2 linked regions of the Mus musculus genome follow. The protein of the gene in region 1 binds, or shares a complex with, the protein of each later gene. Links are inferred from orthologs where the notes say so. Each region holds a gene or a part of one and is shown on either strand. Other genes may lie near its edges. The genes, in order: Cdhr2 and Myo7b.

The links.
Region 2: Cdhr2 (region 1) and Myo7b share a complex: the UniProt entries of both Homo sapiens proteins name them as parts of the IMAC/intermicrovillar adhesion complex. The link is inferred for Mus musculus from reciprocal best matches to the Homo sapiens genes CDHR2 and MYO7B.

What each region holds. Positions count from the first base shown.
Region 1 is NC_000079.6:54,700,145-54,704,438, reverse strand, and holds the start of Cdhr2 (cadherin-related family member 2 precursor), read right to left. Parts: upstream 2,977-4,294; 5' UTR 2,870-2,976; intron 1-2,869. UniProt on the Homo sapiens protein: Intermicrovillar adhesion molecule that forms, via its extracellular domain, calcium-dependent heterophilic complexes with CDHR5 on adjacent microvilli. Thereby, controls the packing of microvilli at the apical membrane of epithelial cells.
Region 2 is NC_000084.6:31,970,880-31,974,685, forward strand, and holds part of Myo7b (unconventional myosin-VIIb), read right to left. Parts: intron 3,330-3,806; coding exon 3,102-3,329; intron 2,114-3,101; coding exon 1,946-2,113; intron 776-1,945; coding exon 658-775; intron 569-657; coding exon 442-568; intron 1-441. UniProt on the Homo sapiens protein: Myosins are actin-based motor molecules with ATPase activity. Their highly divergent tails are presumed to bind to membranous compartments, which would be moved relative to actin filaments.

The sequences.
Region 1 (4,294 bases):
TCCCCGAGGTTACACAGAACCCCCAGTGAGGTGCAGCTGAGGGAAAAGAAAACCAACTGGAACCTTCATTCGCCATGGCCCCTTGGGGGCTCCACTCAAGCCCCCTTCTCTGTCCCCTCACACTTCCCCTCCTGTCCTCCTGGTGTGCCTCAGATGATAGTGCCCCACACCTGCACACTCACATGCCACCCCTGTGAAGTCACTATCTCCTGGAAAGGGGAGATGGCTTACACATTCCTTTTTACCTATGGGGACCCTTACACCTCCAGGAAGCTGGGTCTTCTATCTAGCTGTCACAGGGTCATGCCTGACTCATACCTAGAACTCCTTTTGATCCTCCTTCCTATACTGTATGAGTTGACCCCGAGTTTCACAGTCTTGTCCCCTTTGTCACTGACTTTTCACAAACATACTCACTGACCATAATGAGGCCAAAGTTCTGCACTTGGCAGCAGCAGTATCTCCCAGACTCCATCACTTAAGAAAAATGTGTTATGAGATAGGAAAGTACCAGGTGACCAGCCTTACCTCTATAGGCACAGGCACTCTCAAGACCAGACCCGTGCAAGGCTCAGACTGGCTGTGGGCCATACTTCCCACCCTTGGCAAGACAAATTCTTAGGGGACCCAGGTTTCACCTTCCAAGAGTGGATCCCTTTTCCTCTGTGGTATCCAGTACACACACACACACAGTACACACACACACACACACACACACACACACACACACACACACCCTGCGTTCTCTTTACCCTAGATTTGCATGTGTCTCTTCAGCCCCAAAGGCCCTCTTGTGTCCCTTGCCCATGTGCAAATTCTCTCTGTCCTTCAAGACTCACAGCCAGAGCCGCTGAGCTCCAGTCAGGGAACATATGCTACAGGTCATATGGAAGAAGGGAGGCCATGTGCCCAGGCACTGGAGCTGGGCGAACGTCCCCTAGGTGCCCTTTTCTCCTATGGAGGACCACAAGTCAAACATAGGCTCATGTGAGACACCACTGATGCCAGCTCCCAACCACTCTACTTCTTTAAATGATGGGAAACTGGGCCTGGAGCCCAGCCAGTATCCCAGTGCTCAGCAGAGAGGAGGCCCTCTGGTTCTATATAAGGCTGAGCTGTATTGAGAGACCCGTAAAAGGAAAGAGAAGCAAGGAGGGAGGGAGAAGAAGATAGGGATAGTGGAGAAAGATGAAAGAAAGAACAGATCTAGAACCTAGAAATCCCAGGTCCTTGCTCCCAGGCTCCCAGCCCACTGGTTTGGGGCTGGACAGGAGGCTCTCTACCACAGAGAGCATGGTAGCTGTGAAGGACACACCCTGGAATGTGGAGATGGTCTGCTGGACTCTATCAATATGTTCAATTACTTTGTGTCAGTTAAAAACAAAACTGCACAGCTATTCACCTATAAAGTGTCTGAGGAAAAGTCAGGAGCATAGGGGCTCCAGATCACTCTACGGACCCCCAGACCCAGGTCATGCTCTGCCAGGCCTGACACAGCAGGGGTTTCCTCTCTCTTGTCTCAGCGGACACATTGGCCGCAGTTCGACAAGACTCCAGGAAACCAAAGACTCTACAATTCAGTCGACTGGATGTGAAGACCCCAGGACATCTTGGAAGGCTACAGAGGAAGGGAGCCCTCCCCTGCTAAAGGCTCAGCCACGGGCGGGCTCGCTAACCCCACAGCCACCCCACCCTGCCTCAGCCTCCACAGCTCCCTGAGCCCTTCCTTTCGCTTCTGCTTCCTTCCCACAGCTGCCTCACAGGAAGGAAGCAGCTACCTCACAGTTACTCTCCATTGCCCTAAGAAAACAGAGATCAGATCAGAGGGACAGTCAACAACAAAGATAGAAGGTCAATCACCAGCTGCAGGCAAGGCTAGACCCAGGTACCATTCTGCTGAGCCTAACAAAGGTCTCTCCTAATTCCACCAGCCCAGCCAAGTGATCCAGCTCCCCAAGATACGGACCCAGGGACCTTTAAGTTTCCAGGGATACCGGGCTTCCTGTAGCCAGAGATGGTGCCCGCCCTCCTGGCTGCTTCCTCTGAGAGACGGGTATGGATCAGGCCCCAAGTTAGGATTTTAGCATTTCACATACTGTCTGTCCAGCACTGGGCGAGCCTCCCTTGTCCTCAGCTTTGGTTTTCCTCTGAGGAATGAGGTGAGAGCAGGCTATGGCCTAGGCTGGTCAGGGGAATGTCATTATTCTCTGATATGCTACCTGGGACCAGTCAGCATGTAAGTCCTGTTTGAAGACACAAGCTGGCCTGGCTGAGTCTTTACCCTGTGACCAGGACAAGGACTAAGTTAGGGTTGGGACCAGCATCGTTAGTCCTCCCTGAGGTGACCTAGCGTTTGATCTCTGAGTCTGAGAGGGACAGCCTCCGTACCCTGCCATATCTGATTCACGAGCCCTCCAGGGGCTACTAGTACTGTGCCCACTCCACAGACGCAAAGACTGAGGCCCAAAAGCAGTCAGCAGCTCACTCAAAGTCTGCATGGAGCTGAATGAAGATCTGAGCCTGGCGGAGTGGAGCCAGCCTTTCCTCCTCAGGCTCCGGGACAGATTCAGCCATCTTCCTCATCTTCTCCTTTTAGGTAACAGATGAGGTAGCCAATTCACTTCTCAGGGACTTAGGAAGGCAAACAGGAGGTTGCCACTGCCTAGAGAGGAGATCTTACCCTACATTCTAGAAGAAACAGGCTTCACGGGTAGCTTCATCAATTCCCGCCCTCCCCATGACAAGTAGCTAACGCCACAGCTAGCTCTTCCCCTTGGTGTTCCCTCCATACTCCAGATGCCAGGAAACTGAGTCTGAAAGAACTCAAAGTTTGCCTCAATCCCAAGGACAGCCCCCCACCCAGGCTTACCCTCGGGCTAAGAGCCCCCCCAGAAGCAGCTGATCTGGACAGCCCCTGGAAGGGGCCCAGAGGCAGTGATGTACACCAGTCACAGGTGGGCGCCGTCTGGGGCCGGCAGAACACAGCGCAGACTTTGGCACCATCTCCACCTCTTCTGAGCAATCATTAACCATGCAGAGACCACACCTCCTCAGAAGGCACTGGCTGTGACCAGAGCAGGCAAAACCCTGGAGGAATAGGCAGGCCCAGTGACAGAGAAGGGGCAAATGCCCAGCCCAGGGTCTCACTGCAAGCAAGAGGTGGTGACAGTCAGAGGTCATGTCAGGACCTTCTGTCCTCTCCTGGCTCATCTTCAGTGGGGACCTGTAGAGAAAGCGGTGTGGGGAGATCTCTTGGGATGAAGAGACTTGACAGCTATCAAGCCCTTGAGCCCTCAGGCCAAGCCCCGAGGCCGGCATGAAGGGGTACCCACCCTGCAGTTCCAACAAGGCCTTTTCAGCCCTGTATTTGTCCCCTCTAAGCAGGACATCAAAGGGCAGGGCCAACACTGGGCATAGTGGCATATGTCCTTAATCCCAGCACTCAGAAGACAGAGGCAGGTGGATCCCTGTGAGTACCAGGCCTAGCTGGTCTCTATAACCAGTTTTAAACCAGACATAATAAGATGTTATCTCAAAGAAACAAAAACAAGCCAGGCAGTGGTGCCTTTGATCCCAGGACTTGGGAAGTAGAGGCAGGGAGATATCTGAGTTGAGGCCAACCTGGTCTACAGAGCTAGTCCCAGGGCAGCCAGGGCTAGACAGAGAAACCCCGTCTCAAAAAACAAATGAAAACAAAACAAACAAACAAACAAACAAACAAACAAACAAAATCAAAGGGCAGGATCACACACTGCCCCAGGGGCTCCACACACTCCCAGTGGTGGCCTCCCTCGGGGGAACAGGTCCCCAAGTTCATTTCATCTTACCTCATAGTAGGAAGGAGGCCCATGCTGCAGCTCACCAGCCGTGCGCCCCTTCCTGGCTGAGTGGCTGCTGTTCGCTCTGGAGACCGAGGCATCCCTGTGCAATCCTGGTGTGCTGCTGCGGGTTCTCAGGAAGCACCAATCTACCCAAAGAGCTCATGGTTCTGCAAGGTCCCATTGAAGGCTGGCCTCACGTCTCTGAGGAAGGAGGAGAATCTGTATTTGCTGAGCACCTAGTGTGGGCATGTATTTTTCACAACCTACTTCCATAAGGGTTCAACCTCCCCTCTAGCCCACCACCCACCAGAGGTAGTAGGAAAGTTTATTAGAATATGGGGAAGTGAGTGGGCATGTTAGCACATGCCTTTAATCCCAGCACTCGGGAGGCAGAGGCAGGTGGATTTCTGAGTTCAAGGCCAGCCTGCCTGGTCTACAGAGTGAGTTCCAGGACAGCCAGGGCTACACAGAGA
Region 2 (3,806 bases), on another chromosome or scaffold:
TTGTTGTTTCGCCTTTGATCATGCCCACTTATCAAACTATGACCAACAGCAACCAACCACCAACCAGCAACCCATACCACCTCTTGAGAACCCAGCATTTATGTACCCTCTGAAAAGTCCCCAGAATTCCAAACGTCTCACAATTGCAGAAATTATCTGCAGCTGGCAAAATCACGCCCCTGATAAAGCATGAGGCAAGTCATAATCAGCGGCTGTGAATTGTTTAAAGCGGCCCCATGTCCTACACTTGGGATTAAAATGCAGACGTATTCTTATACAGTTTCTGTTTTTTCAAAGAAGCCGCAGATTCACCCTGCACTTGTGCTTGCTCCACTTATCCTGCTACTGCTGACTCGTGAGCCCCTCCTCATGTCTGTCCTTGAGTTCCACATCCACCTAAGCCAAGGTCTCAGGTTGAGAAGTAAAAGACTTGAGTTTTACCTGTTGGCGACCAGACCCATGACCTCTGCGAAGGACAACCCCAGCAGTGTCCTCTCCTTCTGATCCAGGAAGTACATCCCCTTCCAGTTAATGGCTAAAACCAGCTGCGTCTTGGGAAGGCGGGGACCTGGCCAGAAGGCAACCCCAGACTGAAGGCCATGCTGATCACCATGAGAACCCTGTCCTCCCCAACCACACAGCACCACATGCTCTTACCAGAGAGTGTGGTGACTTCAAATAGCCGGGAGAAGAGCAGGGGCCACAGAAGACGGGCAGCCTCCACTGTCTGCTCCCTCACCGCCAGTGGCGTGGCTTTCGACTGGGTATACTGGGCCTATATAGAGTGGAAAAGCCCGGGCTGCATATGGAAGGATGAAGGACAACCTCCAACATTGGCCCTCACCTTCCATCTTGATTGACAGATGGTCTCTCTCTCTGTCTCTGTCTCTCTCTGTGTCTCTGTGTCTCTGTCTCTGTCTCTGTCTCTGTCCCTTCTCTGTCTCTCTGTCTCTGTCTCTCTCTTATTTTTTGAGACAGGGTTTCTCTGTGTAGCCCCGGCTGTCCTGGAACTCATCCTGTAGACCAGGCTGGCCTCGAACTCAGAAATCTGCCTGCCTCTGGCCTCCCAAGTGCTGAGATTAAAGGCGTGCACCTCCGCTGCCCAGCATGACACATGGTCTCTTGTTGCTCACTATTGCTGTGCCAGGCTAGCTGGCTCCCAGGATTCTATCAATCCTCCTGTTCCTGCCTCCATCTCTCTGAAGGTACACATCGGGACTGCACAGGCGTGTGCTACCCCACCCAGCACTTCATGGGTTCTGGTGATTTGAACTCAGGGTGTCAGCCCTGCGCAGCAAGCTCTTTACCAACCAAGCCATCTCTACACTTCTCTCATCCTTATATTTCTTCCCTTTGCCTGGCTCGCCCTTTCCCTTCCTCACATGTCCCACATCCACTGGGCTGTGCCTAAAATGGCCTCAAGTTTTCTTTCTCTGTTGGACCAAATGCCATTTCTCATCTCTACATTCATGTGCTGACTTTAGGCATGGAAATGAACACAGCAGATATGAAGGGTGATTTGGCCATCTGCCACATGTACCAAACACTTAGGACGTGTACACGGTGACCTAAGATTTCCATGTGCCCACTGAGGGGACACTGAAAGGCTTGGAGGTGAGCATGAAGGGAAGAAATGATGAGCCTGTGCCAGGCCACAGAACTGTCAGAATTCAGCAGCTGTGGAGCCTCAGGCCCTGGAAAAAGGCCAGCTAGGTGCCGCTGGGCAGAGCAGTTTGGGACCAAGAGGCCTATGCAGAGGGAGGGCAGGTGACAGGAACCTGTGCTGATGTGCTGAGCTGAAGGAGACACTTTGTCCCTTGCATCAGGGATGTGCCTTTTAAGGCTTCCTGGTCCCTGGCACATGGGAGACTCATGGGGGAAGGGACCCATTCCTCTCATCACCCCTCAGAGTGGACCCAGAGTGCCCAGCCTGCCACAGACTGACCTTGGCATGGGCAGCGGTGACAAGGCTAGCCCACTTCTCTGGAGACTTGGTCCGGTACAGTTTGGAGGGAACACAGCTGGGCAACAGCTCCTGGACAGCGTTACTCTTCACCGTGGCCCCAAGCTGCACATAGCAGTGCCGGGCCAGCAGCTCCACAAGCTCCTCCTCCTGTGTGCCAGGGACAGCGGGAGCATAAGAGGGGTGAGTAAGGGCCCACAAGGTCTTCCCACGAGGCAGCTCCTGCCTCAGAGCAGTGGGGCTCACCAGCCTCTCACACAAGGAAGGAGGCAGGAGCAGCCTCCTGTCCTAACCTCTCCCCTACACTGCTGCTCTAGGAGGGGCAAAGTCCTCCCATGCCAAAAACACAGTGGCTGCCCCATTCAGGCAGACGGCTGAAATGGCTGTGGCTGTTAGGGTCCCAAGACACAGCCTCCTGATGTGGCATGTGGTGTTTGCACCTGGTGCCACATAGTCACAGAGCACCCTGTTGTTAGAGCTCTTTGTGCATCCCAGATGTGAGTGACCCCGAGGGTCCTCTTCTTCCTTCCCTTCTCATCTCCTCCCCTCTTCTTTCTCCATGTTCTTCCTCCTCTTTCCCCTCTTTTCCCTCCTTCTCCCTCCCCCCAACCCCTAGAATAAGCCTCATGTATCTCAGACTGGCCTCAAACTCCCTATATATCCAAGGATAACCTTAAACTTATGCTCTTCTTGCCTCCCAGTTGCTGGCATTACAGGGGTTCGCTACCAGGTTCAGTTTATACAGTACGAGGGATCGAACCCAGGCTATCATCATTCAGCTTCGAGGCTACATTCCTGATCCCCAGGATACACTGCTCTATGAGCAGCTGGTGTGGGAGGTCAGGGAGCCTGGGACAAGTAGGGGGGCCTTTTCTGCCTGATGCTGTGGGTGCCAAGGATCCCAGATGCCCAAGCAAACCTGCAACCCAGAGGAGGAAGAAGGCGGCCAGGCCTGGGAGAGATGTCTGTGCCCAGTGTTGGCTCCATGCCTGCACCCTTGTATCTACCTTTCCATCCATCCTTCCTCAGGCTCCTGTCTGCCACATTCTTTATTACTTCCATTGCCACGTAGCCCCTATACTGCAAAGCATCCTGATGGCCACAGTCTAGGAATGGGGCAACTCGCAGGGCTCCTCACCTTCTCAAAGTTATACTCGCCAGACCACACCCCACGGAGGACTTGGTGGTAAATGAGCTCAGTGCTCACAGGGTCCTCCTGGGAGTCATGCCAGGGGGTGAAGAACTCCTTCCGGAAGTAGATACGCCAGGGGGCCTGCCGCTGGCTCTCTCCCCTCTCTCGGGCCAGTTGCTCACACTGGGCCACAGCATCCATCAAATGGTCACAGCCGCTGCCCAAGGACCAGAACTGAGAATTGGGGGCAGGAGGGATTAACAGCTGCGATATGCCACGCCCCAACACAGACATCTATCCTTAACATCGTATGAGGAAGACAGGGACCATAGTGCCCTGTGTGGGCCAAGAAGCCACTCCTGAGTCCAGTCGGACACCAAAATGCTTCTTTCTTTCTCTTCATGTTTTGTGTGTGTGTGTGTGTGTGTGTGTGTGTGTGTGTGTGTGTGTGTTTGTGGAGGTCACAGGTGGATGGCAAATCTTCCCTAATTGCTTTCCATCTCTGTTTCCGAGATGGGATCTCTCATTGAACCTAGAACTCACTGATTTGGTTGGGTTTGCTGGTCAATGAGCCCTGAGACTCTCACATCTCCATTTGGGTAGTGCAGCAGCAAATGCCGCCATGCTTAGATTATTTACATGGTACTGGGGGATTGGTCTCAACTATCCATGCCACAGTATGTACTTTACCAGCTGAACTGTCTCCCCAGC